Rhinolophus ferrumequinum: one gene and its partner. The protein of the gene in region 1 interacts with the protein of each later gene in a pairwise test. Links are inferred from orthologs where the notes say so. Each region holds a gene or a part of one and is shown on either strand. Other genes may lie near its edges.

Evidence for each region.
Region 2: the proteins of KHDRBS2 (region 1) and HBZ interact in binary tests that used the Homo sapiens proteins (3 or more experiments, as listed by UniProt). The two-hybrid records come from large-scale screens. The link is inferred for Rhinolophus ferrumequinum from reciprocal best matches to the Homo sapiens genes KHDRBS2 and HBZ.

Annotation. Positions count from the first base shown.
Region 1 is NC_046286.1:26,296,172-26,307,112, forward strand, and holds the start of KHDRBS2 (KH domain-containing, RNA-binding, signal transduction-associated protein 2), read right to left. Parts: upstream 4,370-10,941; 5' UTR 4,095-4,369; coding exon 4,004-4,094; intron 1-4,003. UniProt on the Homo sapiens protein: RNA-binding protein that plays a role in the regulation of alternative splicing and influences mRNA splice site selection and exon inclusion. Binds both poly(A) and poly(U) homopolymers. Phosphorylation by PTK6 inhibits its RNA-binding ability.
Region 2 is NW_022680357.1:2,216,883-2,227,112, reverse strand, and holds HBZ (hemoglobin subunit zeta), read right to left. Parts: upstream 3,484-10,230; 5' UTR 3,433-3,483; coding exon 3,338-3,432; intron 3,272-3,337; exon of another isoform or gene 3,048-3,271; coding exon of another isoform or gene 2,986-3,047; intron 2,632-2,985; coding exon 2,427-2,631; intron 2,276-2,426; coding exon 2,147-2,275; 3' UTR 2,046-2,146; downstream 1-2,045. Other genes in the region: HBM (hemoglobin subunit mu), read right to left, coding at 630-758, 882-1,086, 1,248-1,339. UniProt on the Homo sapiens protein: The zeta chain is an alpha-type chain of mammalian embryonic hemoglobin.

The DNA.
Region 1 (10,941 bases):
GAACACAATCTAAATTAAAAAAAAAAATGATCCTTACTGAGAATCTAAATATAGTTAAGTCACTAGAAATCAGTATTTGTGATAAATGTTAATCCCTGTTTCTCTTGTGGTATCAAAAGTTCATCTATATCTGCATACAAGCAGGCCAATCCTAGATGGACTGCCAAGCTTTTCACCAAAATTTGAAAGTAGCACCTAGACTTTCTAAAAATAAATATTTCCACTGTTGAGATATTTGGCAATATTTCGCTTCATCATATGATGATGCAAACAAAACAATGATGAATCTACCAAAATTTGTGAAGAATTCAGGTTACCAAGTCTTGCCAATCAGAGCACCTGGAATACTCTCAATTGGACAAAAATTTATTAATCCTCCTAAAGGTATGGAATCACCATATTTGAATCTATAAATTTGAACAGATCTATGTCTGTCAGCGGACAGGCATGCTTGACAGCAAACAATAATATTTCCATATATATATATATATACATTTGTAGCCCCAAATTATTATGAAGATAATAGTTCTATCGATTTAAGAACATAAATCTGTCCTCAGTACCCAAAATAATGTATATGCATCAAATTACATTATAGTACAATATATGTATTATTAATCATTAAACTAAGAAAGAATAAAAAAAGTTTCAGCCATTGATTTTGGTCTTCTGAATACACAAATACAACTCCTTTGCATCAGCATTAGTCCCAGACTTAATTAGAATTATGGAGAAACATATAGATCATCTAGTCCAACTCCTTAACTTGTGAGACAAGGAATCTAGGTCCATGGAAGGAAAGCTTATCAAGATTCACATGGGGCAAAAGTGGAATTAAAATCCAGGTATCTGGATTCACAGTTTAGTGCACTTACCAGAAGTAGCATAGATATAAATAACCTTATCTAATTTCATCTGGCAAGCAAATTCAGAGGCTGAGTGGAACTTGAAAGATAATGCTGAGTTTGCTGTTTCATCATATGTAAAAACACCTTCCATAACAAATGGATAATTAAATATGATAATCATAGAAGGAAAATTATTTAATTTAATCAAACATATTATAAACACTCTTCAACCATACTATTCAAGATCTTTTCTAAATAGCAATCGAATTCATAAAATGTTTGGGCTCTTTCATTAGCTTTCTCAGAATCATTCCTACTGAAAACACACAGCAGCAACAACTGAAATAAAACAAACCACACACACACACACACACAAATAGCAAAATTACCAACAAAATAGTTCTTTTAAACATGGCCTCCAATTCTAAACATAATAGTAACAATAGAGCACTAATTTGCATCTATCATCAATCACAAAAGCAAAACAAATCATTGTGAAAGCTTATTGGTTTATATCACTGCATATATATATATATATATATATATATATGCAAATATATATAGTGTGCCAAATACACACACAAATATATAGGGTGCCAAAAAAATGTATACACATTTTAAGAAAGGAAAAAACTGTATTAAAAGTATAATACTTAATATATACCGATAATAAAAGATGAATACAAGTCATGTGTATACATTTTTTGGCACTCCGGTATATATATAAGCTTCCGGAAAAATCATTCCGAAGAACTGAATCATCTGGATCATTTTTATTACTCACTCAGTCTTGAGACTGTCTGCACAGTACTGACTGAAATGTACTTCAGTGTGCACCTTCCTTCCAAATGAATATCTATGTCAGGTTTATTTATAGCCACTGCCTTCAATCAGTGCATTTCCAGGTATGAGAAGGAAAATCATCTCAACAATACTCTCTCATACAGATGTGAACCAAAACCTGGAAATCTTAACAAATGGCCTTTGAAAAGGTAATGAAAGATCTATAATGTAAAATGTACATTAAGATTTATTAAAGAGTCCAAAGGATACTCACCTTACCCTCCTTAATAAGCACACATAAAAAGCCTCAGGTAATGAGAGAACGAATTTAAACTTTATGCATCTGTTTGCGTCTCTTTATACCCTTCAAGATTTTTATCATCACCTCCTCCATTCTCTTATCCTCATTATGATTTCTCTGAAATTTAGACACCTCTCTTTGTTTCTTACTTAGATTATTTTCTCTCTATTTATGAGCTTTTCCTCCTAAGGCTTTACAAAAGTAGGACATGCTTCCCCCTACTGGGAAAAAATTAAATTACAAGGTACATCTGAACATGTTCTTAAGTATCAAGAAATCAAGTTCCTAGGAAAGATAAAATGCTTAAAGAACCAGGTGCACAGCCTTCTCTGACTGTTTCACCAGTCGCAGAAATACTTTGCACTCCATTAAGACTTTCTCACATTCATTTCTTTAGCTTGGCCGTTTTAAAAAATACACTCTCATTAGTGAAAGATGAATTAATCACTGAGCCTGCTGCCCCAAAGAGAACTCCAATGAGCAGGTTACAGAAAATCATCAATTTGTAGTATACTGTTTTCATTTTAAAGATATTAATAGCTAAATGAAGATACTTCTGGAAAATATATTGAACTAAGCAATTTGAGAAGGCCTACTTGCATTTTTAATCGTTTTGAACAATCCTAAGCATTTATTAACTCATTAATTTTCCTATGTATTGATGTAATTATCTAATTTTTTAATAGAGGGAGAGTTTAATTTTTTAATTGACTTCACTTTTCTACTTTATTTGCTTTAATTCAGTAACCAAAAAAGTAGTAAGCATAATTACATTTTATCTTCCCAAATACTCTACAAAACCAACTTGTTTCTTGAAAAATAGTTTACTTGTTTCACACATTCAATATTTTGTTTATAAATTCTTTAATTGTTTACTATGAAAAAAGGAAAAACACCTACACATTATTATTGTTATAAATAATAATCTATCAATATAATCTTGAAATAGACAGAATGCCTATTTGAATCATACATGGAGGGTCAGAATTTTTCCTTCCATGTACAACTACATAAGTCTCAAAAAAGAAAACATTTATTTTAATGCTGAAGGGCTGAGGAAGAGGAAGTTGGTCACTTTTAGTTTTGCTATAGGTTAAGCCCATAGCAACCTAAGCTACAAAACTGCATTGTAGTCAAATTGATGATGAAACGATTCATTAATAATGAAGGATTAATAAAAAAAAAAAGCCTGGAGTTTTTTTTTTTTTAAGGTATGTGTATGTTAGTTACTACAGATATCATGAAAATCTTTAGCAGTCCGAAGGCGATATTTCAAGATAAATGATGCGATTTGGCTAATGTTTCTGTCATACAGAAGTTTGTGTGTGTGTGTGTGTGTGTGTGTGTGTATGTGTGTGTGTGTGTTTAAACAACCTTTCAAAGCCATGCAAAAAAACAAGACATATGTTTCTCTGGGGATGAAATCTCCATTAACACTACAGGTACACAAAAGAAAATGCACACTTGGTAAAACAGTTGATCAATTGTGGAGTGTTCCCAGGGACCAGCAACTCGCAGAGTAACCCAATCATCGCACTTCAAATAAATTGATAAGCACTTTAGCCTCTGCCACATTCACAAACATAGACGAACATGAATAGTTTAATTCTAAGCCTTTCCATAGGAAAGACTGTAATTAGACTAAAGGGTAACAGAATCACTTCCCAAATGCAGAAAAAAAAATGCTGATGTGTAACTAAGAAGCTCTTAGAATACTACATTGGTGATCATTTACTTCTAAACTGATTACCCTTTCCTCTGCGAAGTGAAAATATCCCTGTGAACCGCGTTACACTTTATGGTGTCTCTATCAATGATTCTAAAAGGTCACATCACCACTGTCATTAGATCTCCTAGCTTTGATCTTTCCCCAAATTAAAAGGAGCATTGTTGCCCGCCCCAAGAATAGGTTCTGTCCTCCCGAGCTCCGATGCTCAGTCCGCGAGCATCTTCAGGGGCACAGTTTCTGCGAAGGAGACAGTCGTCCCTCCCCAACTTCACTCCCCTTAACCAAGCCGCGGGTGCTATGGGCGGCCGGCGGTTTGTGCACATCTATAGAGGCAAGTCCTACCTTCCGCCAAAAGGCGTGATGCATGCACAAAAGATGGATCCAGGCTATCTTTCTCTGCCATCAGCTCAGGCAAATATTTCTCCTCTTCCATAGCGCGGACTTCGGACAGTCCCCGGGCGAAGCGCAAGGTTCCGCTCGCTCAGACGCAGGGTCGCCGGGCAGCGCCTGGCTCCCGCGCTGCTCTGCCTCTGCCGGGGAGAGGGGATCTCCGCGCGTCCTCACTGGCCCATGCACAGAGCACCTGCAACTCCAGCCGTCGGGCTGCACGGCCCAGCGCCCACACCTGCCCGTCCCTACCGTCGTCCCTGGATCGCGCAGTCCCGGCTCACACAAGCGGCCTTAACTGGAGAGGCGGGAACAGGACGCGTCCCACCTCTGCCAACCACTCATTGGTGGTGGTGCTATGAGAGGCGGGGCCCCCGCGAAGGCCGAGGGCTCTCATTGGGCAGAGCCGCACGTCGGATCGCCTGACTGGCAGGAGGCAGCTGTAGATGGGAGGGGGGCGCAGAAGGTGCAAACGCTTTCTTCTTGCAGACCAAGCCTTCGCTGGTTATTAGGCATGCCCAGTTGTGTGGAGCCCTCTGTGTCTTCAGCAGAGGTGCAGAGGGGGTAGAGAGCGGGAAAAGCACCCGTTAAGCAGAGAAGCTCGGGTCCAAGACGTCAGGGGAAATGGGGATGAGGAGTGCAAGGCTGAGGGGAGGGAAAGCACCAGGGAAAGTCTCAGGAAGGTAGATAGGACTTCACCTGAGTCCCTAAGGCACAGGTGTCTCCTCTCCCTCATGCGGCTCAGACGCACTCCACTGTGCAGGAATCGGCAGCGCACCCAGTCTGGAAACATAATGAAGACTGCGTTTGATCGGCGGCTTGTGTTTTCTAAGAGCCTGACCTACATCTCGGGGACGCTGTAGGATGTTCATTGATAAACAAATAAAGCGGGTCTGGGGCGATATTGTTGTAGCAATACGCTTCCAGCGTACGATCACTGGGGTATTGACTTGATTCTGGTTTTTCTCCCATCCATCCCTCCTCTCCAATCCATCCCTATCTATGGGAGGGGTTCCGGGAGAGGGCTGAATTCTACAACTGAAAAGCAACACAATTAGCCACAATTAGTGAAGGAATTAGGGAGACATGTGGTAAAAGGAAGAGACTAGTTAAACAGGTAACCCCAGTTGCTCAAATTTCCCCCTTTCTCCGTATTTTAGATGTGATAGCCTTTCACCAAGTGCCGTTGCTGAGCTAGTTTGTATCTCTCTCACTTTTATTTAAGGAGAGTCAAATGCTGCAGGTATCAACACTCGAGGCAGTTCCCATCCTTCTCTTAACAATGGGATCTGATAATGCAGCTTGCATGCTTCAATGTTACAAAACTATTGTCTCTTTTCATAAACAATCATTTTATTCAATTCGCCTCTCCCCCCACCATTTTGGTGTGAAAGAATGGGGGCTAACTTTCCTACAAAAAAGCATGCTGAAACTTTTCCAAGTTCTTAATGTAGTCAAATCTTTTCCTTATTTATTTTTCAGGATAAGGTTGGGAGATTATTTTTTACTTATGTTTTACATTTTTTATGTGACTTCACATCCATGATCTCAATTTGTCCTCAAAAAAGCACTCTGTGAAACATGGTTCAAGTATTACTTTCTGTTTTATAAATGTGGCAACTAAGGCACAGACAGACAAGTCAGTAATCCAGAAGTAACAAACATGACTTCTTTCGGCACCAGAAATTGTTCATCCTACCTGGAAGCTGAGTGTATGCTACCACAGGGCCAATGATGAGGGAGTACATGGCTAACAAATATGATCGGGTGGTTAAAAGTTCATGAAATAAACTGTGAGAACTATGACTAATTGATAATTTTATTTTTTGACAGTAGAAATGCTGCCAATCTTCAGAGAGGTGGCCAGAAGCTACTGTAGTGGAGGGTGGGTAAGATGCCAAACACAACTAATAAATTGTAAACACTTTGGAATGAGTATAAATTAGAAAATTTATTGTGCAGTAATTGTAATCACATTTTGCTTTGCATCATACCAAAAGATTAAAAGCATGTAGTGCTTATGGGGCCATGCACAAACCCAGTTTCATGAATCAAAAACATGCAGTAATTCTTGTTACGTCCGGCAACAGCAATTACATTATCTATTCATAGTCCTCTTTTCCATGATTAAAGGTGCAGAAAGAAGATACCATGGAAAGTAGTCCAAGGGTTGACTTTATTATACAATGTCTGTAGATATTCATGTCATTATAAATATGGTAAACTAGCTAGCTAACTTTTATATTCCTAATTATTACCAAAAAATATTTATAATTTTATTTTCTCAGGTAAACTCTCAGCAAACATCTAAATTTCACTTTAAAAGGGGAAATGCATTTCCAAACAGAATATGACTGAATAAAGGTGCCCTACACATACATTTATCCTACATCAGATCCCTATATTTTCAATAGCTGACTCTATCTCACCATATGTTCTCTGCTCGTTTCACATATGAATATTTTACAGTTACCACAATTACACAGTGGATATCCTCAGCACAACTTTATTAATACAAACATTTTATAAACATAAATGTAAATAAATTGAGAGCCTTCTATAGATAATTGTTGAATAGATAGTATCATATGTCTAAACATGAATAAATTATAACTACTGGTAAGCCCACCTCTTTTTCTAATGGTGTAAATAACTTAACCATATTGACCACTGAATTGATTTGTATATCTTAGGTAAAGATTTATCTCATTTTAAACATGAGTTCTAGTCCTGAAAGGTGTTTTTTTTTTGTTTTTGTTTTTGTTTTTTAATGGTATTCCATTTACTGCACTATTATTTCAACAATGGGATATTATGGAACATTTTGCTCCAACCAAACTTGGTTCTGAAGGGTCAACAAGGCATGCATTATAGACTATGTCCTATAATTAATGCACAAACTTTGTATTCAATGCTTTTACAAACCTTTATAAGAAAGGCCAGGATAAAGGGCATTTAATCAGGCTTATCATTGCACACTAACAAAAAAAAATACCCAACCTATAATATTACATAAAACACACAGTTTTTATTTCAGAGTTCTCATCAACTTTAGGGATATGTCACTAGTCTGACTACTTACTCCAAGAATTCATTAGAAGCCACTCAAATAAGAACCAAGGGTTAATAAAATTGTAACAGCCAGATCATTTACACTAAGCTTTCTAATATCCTGGTGCCTGGGACAGAGTATAATGAAGGACTAAAATATTGAATGACTCATTTTCATCTACTAAAGAGTCTGACAGAGTCCATTACATAGGTGTTTTTTAATGTTTCGATTTATTTTAGTTTCACTAACTGAACAAGTGAAATTGCTCCAGCTTCTTTTATAACTTTTATGATATATTTTAGGGTTGCAAGTAGAAAAGAAGAGAATTAGGACTTGGCTGTGCCAACAACCAATAGCAACAGTAGCACATGCAGTGAGAAATCTCTCATAGGTAATGAGTTCAGAGCCAAAATTTATGCTATATGCTAATACGCTACAGCACAAAATGAATATTCACTACTCAAAGCTGGTATTTATACACACACACATATATATGTATAGAACTTTTTTCATATATACATATGAAAGTTTTCTGATTGGAAAAGTTTTTTTAATTATCATATTGAATTTTAACAGACACAAATGTATAATTCAAGGAGAGCAGAAGAGAGAGAAAGGACTGATATTGGTTGAAAGCCTACTAGTATTTTGTTTGGAATATTGCTATTCTGAATCTTCACAAATATAAGACAGGAAGGCCAAGAAAAAAGCTGTTCCTATTCTAAAGTGGCCTAACAACTCAAATAAACCATTTCTGATGTGGAAATTATCTCTGTTTGGAAAACTGACAAAGTTCATCTTGTTATACATCTCTATGGACAATCACTGCACTAACACATTTTGGTTGACGTTGATAGCCGCTGAGGAACAGTTACTGCATTACAGAAAAGGCGAATGAAGTGATTGTTTCAAGGTGAAAGTTATTGACTGTCTTCTTCAAATTAAATCCTTGAATTGTTGAATTGTAGCTCACATATTGATTATTACTGGAGATCAATATATTAAGGTGAAAAATCACATCAGTAAAATATAATGTTTTCATGCACAGCAAATGAAGACCTGAGCTCTGTTGTATTCAGTATAAAATAAATAGATGAAGGCTAAGGAATGATGTAATAAAAACAATCTTCAAGGACACGAAAACTTTTGCCACAGAGGCAGATGTATAAGCAGTCGTTTTATATCATGACTAAAACAAGGGAAGAAAGAGTGGATTGAATTTCAGTTGTATTAGTTTTTAAACATTCATGGAAAGAACCGTTAATATTGGAATAGTGTTTTAAGAGACCACCATCACATAAAAGGCTTTAAAATACTGCAGATACTTGCTATAATTTTTTTTATTATTCTGATCTTTCACATTAAATGATATTGCCGTGCAGGAAACAATCACTGTGAAATCCTACTGTATAAAACAGTTATTACAAAGTAAGTACAAGCCATTTGAAGAGAATGGTAATGAAATTAGAAAACACAGTTCCAGAGACAAGATTTTATCAGCCCAACAGTGAAGAGAGAACAAAATAAAAAAATCAGAGATATAGACATTTTGTAAGATATTGGGTGATAGATTACCACGACCAACCAGGAAAGAGCTAATAAATACCATGAATATTATCTCAATACATGAAAACTGAACATAAAGTATAATCCTAGATTAAATCCTGGGCCAGATTTTGTTTTTATTTTATTTGTTTCTACATACTATAAAGGACAGTAATGGGATAATTGGAAAAATGTGATAAGGTCTATAGTTTTAGTTCACTGATTTTGCTAACTGTATTGTGATTATATAAATGAGTGTCTATGTTTTTAAAAATACAAAATTAAGTATTTAAGGGGGAAAGGGATATCATGTCTGCAACTTACTCTCAAATAATTAAGAAAAAATATATTTATATACAGAGGAAGAGAAAGAAAGAGACATAGAAACAGAAAAAGATGATACAGCAAATATGGTGAAATATTAACATTTGTATAAATTAGATGAAGGGAGTTTTAGATTATCCTATCTTCTTTTCACACCTTTTCCATAAATCTATAACTGCTTTAAAATTTTTTTAAAACTTTAAAAAATCTAGATATTACCTAAAATAACCTCAAAATATTTTATCCAAACCTTGGTTTACTAGTTAGCGATGGAGAGCATAAGCCCATACTTTTATTATGAGACCTATATTATAGCATGCATTGAAATCACAAATTTGGCCACTAATTACCAAATATGTTCTTAATAACTTTAAAAATCTCACTGAAAAAGCAAATATATTACCTACTTATCTCTCTTTTTCCCTAAACAAACATATAATACAAATAATTATGTTGGTTTACTTATTTCCTTTAAAAATAAAATTTTCAGCAATTTACTACAGAATTAGCCATTTTTAGAGAATTTTTTTAAATGAACTATAGGAATAAAAAAATTTATTTTGAATAGATACTAGTATTAACTGTAGCTCTATTTTAATGGTATGGAAGGAAAATGAGAAGAAACTGTTTAGTGTTCATGCATCCTGTGTATAATTGTAGATTTTGACCATTTCATAACATCCCTGTATTTCTGTTTTTACCCTGTGTCTTCTAAGTACTTTTATCCAGTTTATTGGACACCGTAGACAAAGTGCATGCTTCTTTATATCATAATGTGTTCTGCATGCTCCTAAATGCATTTAGTTGCCTGGTTCAAAAACTAAGGGGAAAATGGAAGTAATGGAACATGGTGACAAACGTTGTATGGTACAAGTTGTGGCACATGTTTAGGAGCAGTACATGTTGCCATCTTACTATGGCAAAACTTTGGGAACAGTCACCCCCCCATCATAAAAACACTCAGAAAACTAGGAATAGAAAGAACTTTACGAATATGATAAAAGATAAAAGGTATGAAAAAACAAAAGCTAATATCATAATGAAGGGCGAAAGATTAAACACCCACTAAGATCAGGAAGAAGACAAGTCTGTTGGCTTTCACCACTTCTATTCAACTTAATATTGGAAGCTCTAGTCAGAGCAATTAGGCAAGAATAACAATAAAGGACATTCAAATTTGAAAGGAAGAAGTTAAATGTATATTTATTCATGGATACATGACCCCACATGTAGAAAATCCCAAATAATACATAGCAAACTACTATTAAATTGGTGCAAAGAGGAAAAACTGAGGGTTGCTAGATGGGCGGTGGGGGTGGGGGTAAGGGGGAAGGTGAGGGGATTATAAACAATCAGTAACGACAAGATAGTCATGGGGTTTTGAAAATTAATCTGGGGAACATAATTTAGTGGTTACCAGAGGGTAAGGGGGTTGGGGGGTGGGAGATGAGGGTAAGGGGGATCAAATATATGGTGATGGAAGGAGAACTGACTCTGGGTGGTGAACACACAATGTAATTTATAGATGATGTGATACAGAATTGTACACCTGAAATCTATGTAATTTTACTAACAATTGTCACCCCAATAAATTAAAAAAATAAAATAAAAAAAATTTAAAAAAAAGTAATTGCGATTTAAAATGTTAAAAATAATTGCAAAAACGGCAATGACTTTTGCATCAACCTAACAGAAGTAATAAAAAATTCAACAAATTTGCAATTTTAAGATCAGAACACAAGAAATGTTTTTATACACAAGAAATGAATAATCTCAAAAGGACGTTAAGAAAAACATTCCATTTTGTTAGCATACAAGAGAATAAAATACACAGGAATAAATTTAACCAAGAAGATGAAAGGCTTACACACTTAAAACTATGAAATATTACTGAAAAAAATTAAAGTGACTAAATACATTGAAGGACATCCAATATTTATTAATTGTAAGGCTTAATATTTTTAAGGCAATA
Region 2 (10,230 bases), on another chromosome or scaffold:
TTGCTGTAGACTGAGCGGCGGTAGTGAATGTGGGAAACCAACAGAGCTGAGGGTCCGAGGAGCTCTGGACCCCAAACTCTTGTTTGACTCCAGACCAGGAACTTGGCCCCTGGGCCGGGGTGCCCATGTCTGTCTGCAAAGGATGTGTGAAGTGGCGAAGGGATAACTGACTGACTGACTGACTGAATGAATGAATGAATGAATGAAATGCGGCTGTGATTTGCCAACGGTATGGCACCACTCAGGTGCCCCATGCAAGCTGAAGTCTTACAGGATCCCTCCATCTGAGCACCCACTCAGCCCCACCACATACCAGCCGCCACGGAGGGCAACTATTCCGCTCTAGCCTTTGGGGGTTCACGCACTTCCAGGCCCAGGATGGTCAGCCCCGAGAACCGTCTACATTACAAGTCTGGAGAGCTCTCAGGATCCGCTCCCGGCCGCCATTCCACTGTTACCAAAGTTTTGGGGTCACACCCTAAGATTCCGAACCGGGAAGCTCCCCGCGGGACCCGGAGCCTCTCTGCCCAGCAACAGTGATTCGGCCCAATGACCACACACACGCACGGGTCTCGCCTCAAAAGGCTTCTTTATTGACTCGCACAGACCTAAGCCAGAGGGCACGGGATTCAGCGGTACTTCTCCGTCAGCACCACCGCCACGCCGGTCAGGAACTTATCCCAGGCCGCTTGCATCTCCACCGTGTACTCGCCCTGCAGGTGGGAGGCCAGCACCACCTGGAAACACTGGATCAGCAGCTGCGGGAGAAGGGGCGGGGGAAAGGGTGTCTGCTCTCTCCGGTCCCTCCCGGAACTCCACCCACAAGCCCCTCCTCCCCACGGCTGCACGCGCAAACCCTCCAGGGGCCGGGGCTGCCTCACTGGGAAGTTGGAGGGGTCCACGCGGAGCACGTGCGCGTGCAGGTCTGCGAGCGGGCTCAGCGCCCAGCGCAGGTTGTCCATGTGCAGCACAGCCACGCCCACCGCCTCCAGCAGGCGTTTTCCGTGGCTCAGTAGGTGCACCTCGTCAGGGAAGACGCCCAGGTGCTTGAAGTAGGTCTTGGTGCTGGGGTACACGGTGAAGAGCCTGCGGGAGCAGGTCAGTGGGAGGGCGGGCGCGTGGGGTCTCTCCAGCGCCTGCAATCGCCCTGACCCCTGGACACCCGGGTCTAGCCTGCCCCCTGGGGACGCAGGCCCAATACCCCCGTCTTCGCCTCCCTGCGATGCTGGAGACCCCGCCCGACCCACCTGAGCAGCAGCTCCGCCCCGAAGGGCGCCTCGTGTCCCGCGATCAGGTCCCAGACCTGCGCGACCTGGGCGCGCTCCTGAGCATTGAGCATGGCGCTGGCGTGGCGTGCTCTGGGGGCCGCGCCCGCGGACCCCGCCTCCTTATAGCGGCACCCCCAGCCGGGCGCCCCGCCCGCTCTTATCTGCAGCAGCGTGGCGGGAACTCGGGGACCCTCGGCCGGCACGGGGAAACGTCGCCAGCCTAGGTCCCCACCGCCGCGGAGACCACCGCCTTAGGGATCCCGGTGTTAATGGCACAGACTCACGCCGCTGGGCGTGGGTGCCTTTGCTGCGGACTCTAGGAGAATCTGTAATGACTTCCCCGCGGGCAAAGTTACTGCTTCGCTCGCCAATAGGGAACCGATGTAAAGACCGGGAGAAAGAGCCCGGCCAAGGAACGCCCTTATCCCCCGAGGGGCCAGGAGGGAAACTGTATCAGGTGTCCTTGCAGCGCGGGAGCTCTGACTTCAGGCTTTGAAGAAAAGTCCCCTGAGTCCCCACACGCAGCCAACACGCTGAGTGAAGCGACAGTCTTTGGGCGATTTCGAGAGGCCCAAACGCACCCAGAGAAAACGGCGTGGGTGACTGAGGCTGTTCTGCTTTTTCCGGTTGCGACTCTGAGGTCCGCAGGTGCAAGGACCGCCCCAAAGCACCCGGGGAGTGTCCTGCAGGCCTGGTGTGACCCCGGGGTCTCCTCTATTGTATCCCTCCCTCTGTTCCCTCCTTCCCCCCAATATTGAGGACGCAGGACTCAGCTCATTCCATCCTCATCCATTTATTGGGGAGTACCGGGAGGATCTGTGAGAGTATTTAAGGGTAGAGGGGAGGTCGAAGCCGGGCCTCCGGGGTCCGGTGACAGCTCAGCGGTACTTCTCGGTCAGTACGTTGGACACGACGGACAGGAACTTGTCCCAAGCGGCGTGGGCATCGGCCGTGAACTCGGCGGGGAAGTGCAAGGCCACCGTGACCAGCAGACAGTGGGACAGGAGCTGGGGGGCGGGGGAGAGGCGGCTCAGCGCGCAGGGCTGGGGTGCTGTCTCGGTGGGGGCGGAGTCCCTCTAGGTGAGACACAGCCCCTCTCGCACCACCCGGGCCCCGCCTCTATTCCGACCCAGCCAGGACCCCCTCCCTCTCTCCCACCTTGAAGTTGACCGGGTCCACGCGCAGGATGTAGGCGTGCAGCTCGCTCAGCTTGGACAGGGCGCCCGCGATGTTATCGATGCTCTTGACCGCGTCGCCCACGGCGGCCACCACCTTGGAGCCATGCGCGCGCAGCTGCGCGGAGCCGGGGTTCAGGTCGAAGTGCGGGAAATAGGTCTTGGTCTGGGGGTAGCTGGCAAAGAGCCTGCGGGCGGGGGGCGGGGCGTGAGCTCCGGAGGAGGGCTGCCTGGCTACCTCCCCACCATCCAGCCCGCCCTGCTCCCAACTCGAGGATCCACATTCCACCTCGCCAACGGCCCTGCACGCTGGGCAGCTCCCCCTTCGCTCTCAGCCTGGTGCCTCACACCCAAGCGCATCTAGAGGCCCCCCACGTCACTCCCACCACCCAACCACCCCCCACCCGGCCCTATTCCAGGCCGCTGCAAACTCCGGGCTTGTCTCTTTGCTTCCAACGGGGTCAGCACGACCAGCTCTCCAAATCCCCCCAGCCTTGGCCTCTAGCCCCTTTCACCTCCTTCCGCCACAGGAGCCTCCTTACCAGCCCTTGACCAGGCTTCCAGCTCCACCTTCCGCCAGAAATAATGCCCTCCCTAGCAGCATCCCAGGGAGGTCTCTTCAGGGAAAACCTCTTTCCACTGTGGTTTCCCCAGAGTCAGAGACCCTGGTATCTGTGCTGCTAGCAACCTAACTGCCTCAGAAGGCGCTTTAGGCCTCGGAAGAAACTGTCCGGGGCCTTCAGGTGGGAACCTGGGCCTGGCCTGCTCACACCTCAGTGAACCCAGGGTCAGTCAGAAGTCTGCACAATTCATCTTCCCCGGCTCACTGTCCCCTGTCCGCAACACCCTCACACTGTAACTACCTGGCACCGTCCCATCCCATGTGGCACTCACCTCTCCAGGGCCTCGGTGCCGATGGCGTCCGCCTGTGTGGAGATCTTGTTCCACATGGATGTGATGATGGTCCTTTCAGCCTTGGTCAGAGACATGGTGGAGGTCGAGCTGGAGCGGGGTGAGCCCGGGACTGGCCTCGGTGGTGCTCAGCTAGCTCCCGCGTCCCCTTATATGCATGGAGCCTCGGTGTCATCCGTGGTGGGCATTGGTCAGGAGAGGGTAGGGGGCTGTGGAGGGTGGGGTCTCTTATCAGATCCAGGGACTGGGGGCAGTCAGAGCCTGCAGGGACAGGTGGGGTGAGGGGCTATCACTCCTGCCACCCTTGTTAGGCCTTAGACAGGGCGTTGGCTGCAGCCTGACCAGAATCCTACAGAGATAGGGGCCCAGCCAGCCCAGGAGGTCAGCCCTACACCATCTTTGTCCATTTCAGAATCACAGAATGAGGGAAGCCAGAAGAGCAGGGCCCAAGACGCACGCTCCCCGGGCTGGAACATGCCCCGAGCTGCCTGCACCGCTCTTCCCCCTTTGGTGGGATCCCGTGGCTAGCCCGCACTGGCCACATGTCAGGGCTCCCCCCCCCCCCAATGGCTCTATGATTCCTGGGTTTCCTCTGAGAAAACAAATGTTTTGCCCACCTGGTGCTGAGCACAGATGTACTAACTGGATCTGTCCCCTGAGAAGCTAGGTCAATAAAAGAATTCTAATATCACGTGCTATTAGGGATTGCAATATTGCTCACCATATCATCATTTTAACATAATGAGGGAAATATTCCTTTTAATTTTATTTTAACATGCAATGAAATTGACTTTCTTTGAGTGTACTTCTCTGTGAATTTTGATATGTGTATAGAGTCATGTAACCTCCACTAAAATCAGGATACGCAGTAGCTCCCTCACCCCCAAAAGTTCCCACCTGCCACCCTTTTGCATTTCACTCGGGATATAACTTCTTTGTCAGTTTGACGTGTCATATTGCCCCCAAGTGTGTAGTTTGCCTCCATTCTTTTAATGATGTTTTTGGTTGAACAGACATTTATAATTAATTTTTTTTTTTAAATTGGGGAATATTGGGCAACAGTGTGTTTTTTCAGGACCCATCAGCTCCAAGTCAAGTTATTGTTTTCGATCTAGTTGTAGAGGGCGCAGCTCACTGGCCCATGTGGGAATCGAACCAGCGGCCTTGGTGTTATGAGCACCACGCTCTAACCACTGTGCCAACCGGCTGCCCAGACATTTATAATTTTAGTGCAGTAAAAGTTAGTGATTTTTTTTTGTCCTGTTTAACAATGTTGCATTGTTCTATTCACAATCACCAGAAGGTGGAAACAACCCAAATGTCCATCAGTGGATGAATGGGTAAACAAAATGTGGTGTGTATCCATACAACGAGATATTCTTTAGCCATGAAAATGAAGCAGTTACACACTGCAACATGGATGAAACTTGCAAACGTTATACTATGTCAACAAAGCCAGACACAAAATACCACCTGTTGTATGAGTCCCTTTATATGAAATGTCCAGAATAGGTGAATCCATAGAGACAGAAAGTGGATGAATGAGTACCAGGGGATGAGCCAGCTACTGCATAATGGATACTAGATTTCCTTTTGGGATGATGAAAATATTCTGGAAACTAGATAGTGATGATGGCTGTACCATCTTGTGAACACACAAAATGCTACTAAATTGTTCCCTTTCAAATGGTTAATTTTGGTGCTCGCTTCGGCAGCACGTATACTAAAATTGGAACGATACAGAGAAGATTATCATGGCCCCTGAAAAAGGATGACATACAAATTCGTGAAGCGTTTCGTATTTTGGGGATCACTTCATAAATTATACAAATGTCTAACCGGTAACAAATGTAACTAAGCGGTACACCTGAAACTAATATAAAATAATACTGAATGTCAACTATAGTAAAAAAAAAAATAGTCACGAGGATGAGTAGTGCCACATGGGGAATATAGTCGAAAATGTTCTAATAACTATGTACAGTGTCGGGTGGGTACTAGATTTATTGGAGATATCACTTTGTGAGTTGTGTAAATGTCTGATCACTATGTTCTTCTGTACACCTGAAACTAATTTAAAAAATAATAATTAAGTACTTAAGAAGAGAAAAAAATGGTTCATTTTGTGTCATGCAAATTTTACCTCAAGTTTTTAAAAAGTGAAATAAGCATTGTGCCACATGCTGAGGCGTAGAGAACTGTCTGTATTATCGTTCTAAGAACTTGACTTTGGTGTTTTGAGTGGGGCAACAGCCCCCTGTGGACTGATTTTTGGTGGTTGTGAGGTGAGGCCCGCCGTCTGGTTTTAGCTGACATTTATCTAGTGCCTTCTAAGCCCCAGGCACAGTACCAAATACTCTTCATGTTGGGCGTTTGACTCTCATAGCTCTCTGGGAGAGATTTTTTTATGTCATTGTCATTACATGTTTTAAGATATGGAAATGGAGGCTCAGGAAGGTTAATGAAATACTGGAGGTGCCCCAAAAATGTATACGCATGACTGCTATTCATCTGTTATCGTTATATATTGAGTATTGCAGTTTTAATAGTTTTTTCCTTTCTTCAAATGTGTATATATGTGTTTGGCACCCTCTGTATGTTTGATATTTCAGTGGAGGTGGGAACCATTCTCAGGGGAACGGGAGATCTAGGTTTGGTACAAGCCAGGCTGCTGGCTCTTTGGGGGTCGCGCAATCTCTTCTGTCGCTGGGCCTTGGTTCCCTGTGACATGAGGACACCAAGCCTGTGCTTCTGGACACTGAGACCCGCTGGTCTCTGGGAAGAATTTGAAGCCCCAGGCTTGTTCTGAACTTGTGTAGCAAAAGCTGAGCTGGGGGGCCCTGCGTCACTCAGTGCAGATAGGGTTCTGCAGACCCTCCCCTGAGAGCAGCCCCTGGGTGACCCCAGGCAGGCTAATCACCATCGTGAGCCCCAGTTTCACTGTTTCAACCTCTCGGGTGGGAGTTAAACAGCCTCCACCCCACTATTAACAGGCATAATGGCAGCATGAGTTCAAGATTATCGTAGTTTCTATTGTGGGTGAGTTATTCCTCTTGGGCGGAAACACTGCACCAGAGAAGGTGGAGGTGTGGAGGTGGGTCCCAGATAGGGTCTTTGAGTCCCCCCAGCCCCCTGACAGACAGGGTGGCTCTATCGGGCCCCGACTGAGTGGCAGGACAGATAAGACCTGGCCATCCAAGTGGCCTCCTGGCCCTGCCTGGGGGGGACCCAGGATGGGAGGAAGGGTCAGGAGTTTCGGATCTTAAGAATCCTCTTACCTTCTGAAAAGTAGGTTGCACAAGAGTTATTTAAATGTAGAATGAGGACGTAGAGGTGGGGGCTGTTTTCAGGGAAGACCGTGAAGTGAGCAAGCTTGACTCTGTTCACATCCCTGTCCAGGACACAGCACTGCACTTAGAGACCACCTTCTCCCACTCCTGTTACTGGTGGGAACTGGAGGTGCAAAGCATGGCCTGCCTACCCTGGTCCCTCTGGCTGCCGGCACCAGGCTGGATTGGCCAGGGAGTGACAAAAAGCTCTGACGTCCGTTTCAGCGCAATGAGATTGACAAACGTGGACCCTCACTGCTACTGGTGAGGGTGGGATTCAGACCTCTGCTCGCTCCAGTCTAACCCGGGACATTCTTGCACCCGAGTCCTCTGAAGGCAGCCTGGGGAGGGATGTATCCGGGACCTCTGTGGGCCAGGATCCCACACGTCACCTCCCGTCACCTTTTATGGATTACAGTGCATGCATGATACAATGAAAAGATATTAACCATAGCCTGAAAATAAACAGTAAATGCTCTTATGAAGCTTGCTAGCAGGAAGAGGACACTGAGGGGGTAATTGGGGAGTGGTGGGTTCCTCTAAGTCTATGCCTTCCCCCAGCCCAGAGACAGCCACCCCCAGAGCCTCTGGACACTACACCTGCTCCTTCAGGTTCAAGGGCCATGGGACTATCGGATGGGGTAGCAGCATGGCCCAGGGAAGTGGGAGCCAGAGTCCTGGTCCTTATGTCTGGGCACCCACAGATTCCTGGTACCCCTGTGGGGAGGGCCCTGTTACCATAGCTGGCCATCTCCCCAGACAGCGGGCTCCCCTTTCCCCATCTGCCCAGCTCTCCCAGCCCCACCTCCTTCTTCTGTGTCCTTATTTCCATTCCTGGGACATCCTGGGAACTGTGGGATACCTCAGAAACCTTTGGTTATACATAATATCAAAACATAGCAGACTGGGAAAAAAGGCTTGCAGAATCTGCAACCGAGGGTAACTACCCCTCACAAAGAGAATGTGTCCAAACCATCAAAGAAGGACAAACAACCCACGAGGAAAACAAGACGGCAATTCTCAGACACTGGCAAATAATCAAGCGATACAGTTCTCTACCTCAGGAATAATAAAAGAAATACAACATAGGCTAAGACACCATTTTCTTTTCTGGGAATTTTGTAAAAAAAAAAAAACAAGACAAGTCAATGCTATGCAGCCCCGTGTAGGGCAATACGTTTGTTTGGGAACGTCTGAGGCATTTGAAATGCATGTACTCCACCCTGGCAGGTTTAGCCCACAAATCTGTGTCAGCTTCAGTAAAAGAAGGTTACTTCAGCAAAGAAAATGGTTATCCCTTAGTTAAGCGGTTATGTTCTCATGCATGTGAGGTGTTTGAGAAAGAGTTGGAAACAGCCACAATAGACTGTTAACTATAGTCACCTCCTAGGGAAGACTAGAATCGAGTGGGTGGGGGGATTTTTCTGACTTTTAAAAACAGCTGTATTGAGACATCATTCACATACCATAAAATTCACCATTTAAAGCGTGCAATTCAGTGGGTTTTAGTATAATTAGTATAGAGTTATGCAACCATCACTACAATCAAATTTAGAATATTATTCACCCCAAAACAAACTCATTAGCAGTCACACCGCCCCAACTATCCCAGCCCTGGACAAACTAATCTGTTTTCTGTCTCTATGGATTTGCCTAGTCTGGACATTTATAACATGGAATCATACACTACGTATGCTTTCAAAGTTCATTCATTGGATCAGTACTTCATTACATTTTACGACTGAACTCTTCCATTGTATGGATTATACCATATTTTATTCATCTACTTACCGGTTGATGGGCAACTGGCTTGTTTGTACTTTTTGCCTCTTATGAATAATGTTGTTATGAACATGCAAGTTTTTGTGTAGACTTATGTTTTCATTTTTCTTGGTTATATACTTAGGAAAGGAATAGTTGGGTTGAATGGGAACTCTATATTTAACCTTTTGAGGAACTGCCAGACTGTTTTCCACAGTACCTGTACCATTTTACATTCCCTCCAGCAGTGTGTAAAGATTCCAGTTTCTCCACCCCATCTCCGACATTTGTTGCTTTTTTTTTTTTGAATTGTTATAAGAGTTTATTTAAGCTGAATTGATGACATATATTGGGGAGCAAGATCTCAAGTGCTATTTGTTGTCTTTTTGATTATAGCTCTCCGAGTGTGTATGATGTGCTCTCTCTCTCTGTTTTTCATTTGCATTATGCTAATGATAATGATATAGAACATCTTTTCATGTGCTTATTGACCATTTGTTTATATTCTTTGGAGAAACATCAATTCACTTCATATGCATATTTTCCAATTGGCTGTCTTTTTATTGCTGTGGGGACAGAGTCCCAGAGAGCAGTTTCCAGGCTCTCGGCCTCACGTGGAAAGGTGCTGACTCGGGTAATGGATGGCCATCAGCTGTGACTGGTTGGCCATCAGCTGTAACCAGTGAGCCACTTGCCGCTGATACAACTTCCGTGGCTGTGATGGTTGGTTGGCAGGCAGAGAAGCAGACGGTGGATTGTGGATGGTGTGGATCCTACTTCGTGTGTTGCCCACCAGGCTGCAGCGAGACTATAGTGGTCTGACTCCCCTGTCTATGGCTCCGTGGGTGTTCCTTTTTGGCCTCACCATGTCCTGCGTCCTTATGTGGGGAGCGGGACCAGAGACCCTGCACGACACCCCGCATGACAATTGCTGACGTGTAAGAGTTTTTAAAAAATATGTCTGGATACAATTCCTTCATCAGATATAGGAATTGTAAATATTTTCTCCTGTTCTGTGGGTGTTCTTTTTCCTTTCTTGGTGGTGTCCTTTGAAGCACAAACATTTAATTTGATAAAATCAATTAATTTTTTTCTTTAGTCGCTTGTGCATTTGGTATTATATCTAAGTAATCATTATCCACTCCAAGGTCATGAATGTTTACCACTATTTTTATTAATAGTAGTAGTAAGAGTTTTATAGTGTTTTATGATTCATGGATTACTTTCAAATTTTATTTTAGTACTTTATAGTTTAAACTTCCTCCCCCAAAAAAGTGTTACTTTTAGAATGAAGAAAGCAACATTTAGAGACAGGTGTCTTGAACCTCAGGGTGAAACCAACCTTAGTTTCCCATTCACGCTGGGAACGCTGTTTGTTCCTTTCTCCCCCAGTGACAACCGGGCGGTCCCACGTGTACTAGGCAGTAACTTCCTGGCGAGGGCCCTGCGCCTGCGCACGCGGCCTCCCGCGCCTGCGCAAACGCCGTCGGTCCGGGCGCAGACACCTTCTGCGCGTTTGCCCGCCGGGAAGTGTGGCGGAAGTGTCGCGAGCCGGGCGGGACGCGCTAGGTGGCGCGTAGGTTTGGTGACTGTCGCGCTGGCTCTGTCGGCCTGGCTCTTCGTGCCGGTCCTTTCCGTGGCCTCGGTCGCGTCTTTGTCAGGTCCCCTCACCCCCTGGCCCCGGCCCATCCTCCTCGGAGCCTCCCTCCCCACCCCACGTCCAAGGAGCATCTTCCTTTGTCCCCCCCTCCACCTCCCTGGTCCCGGACCTCCTCAGGCCCTCCT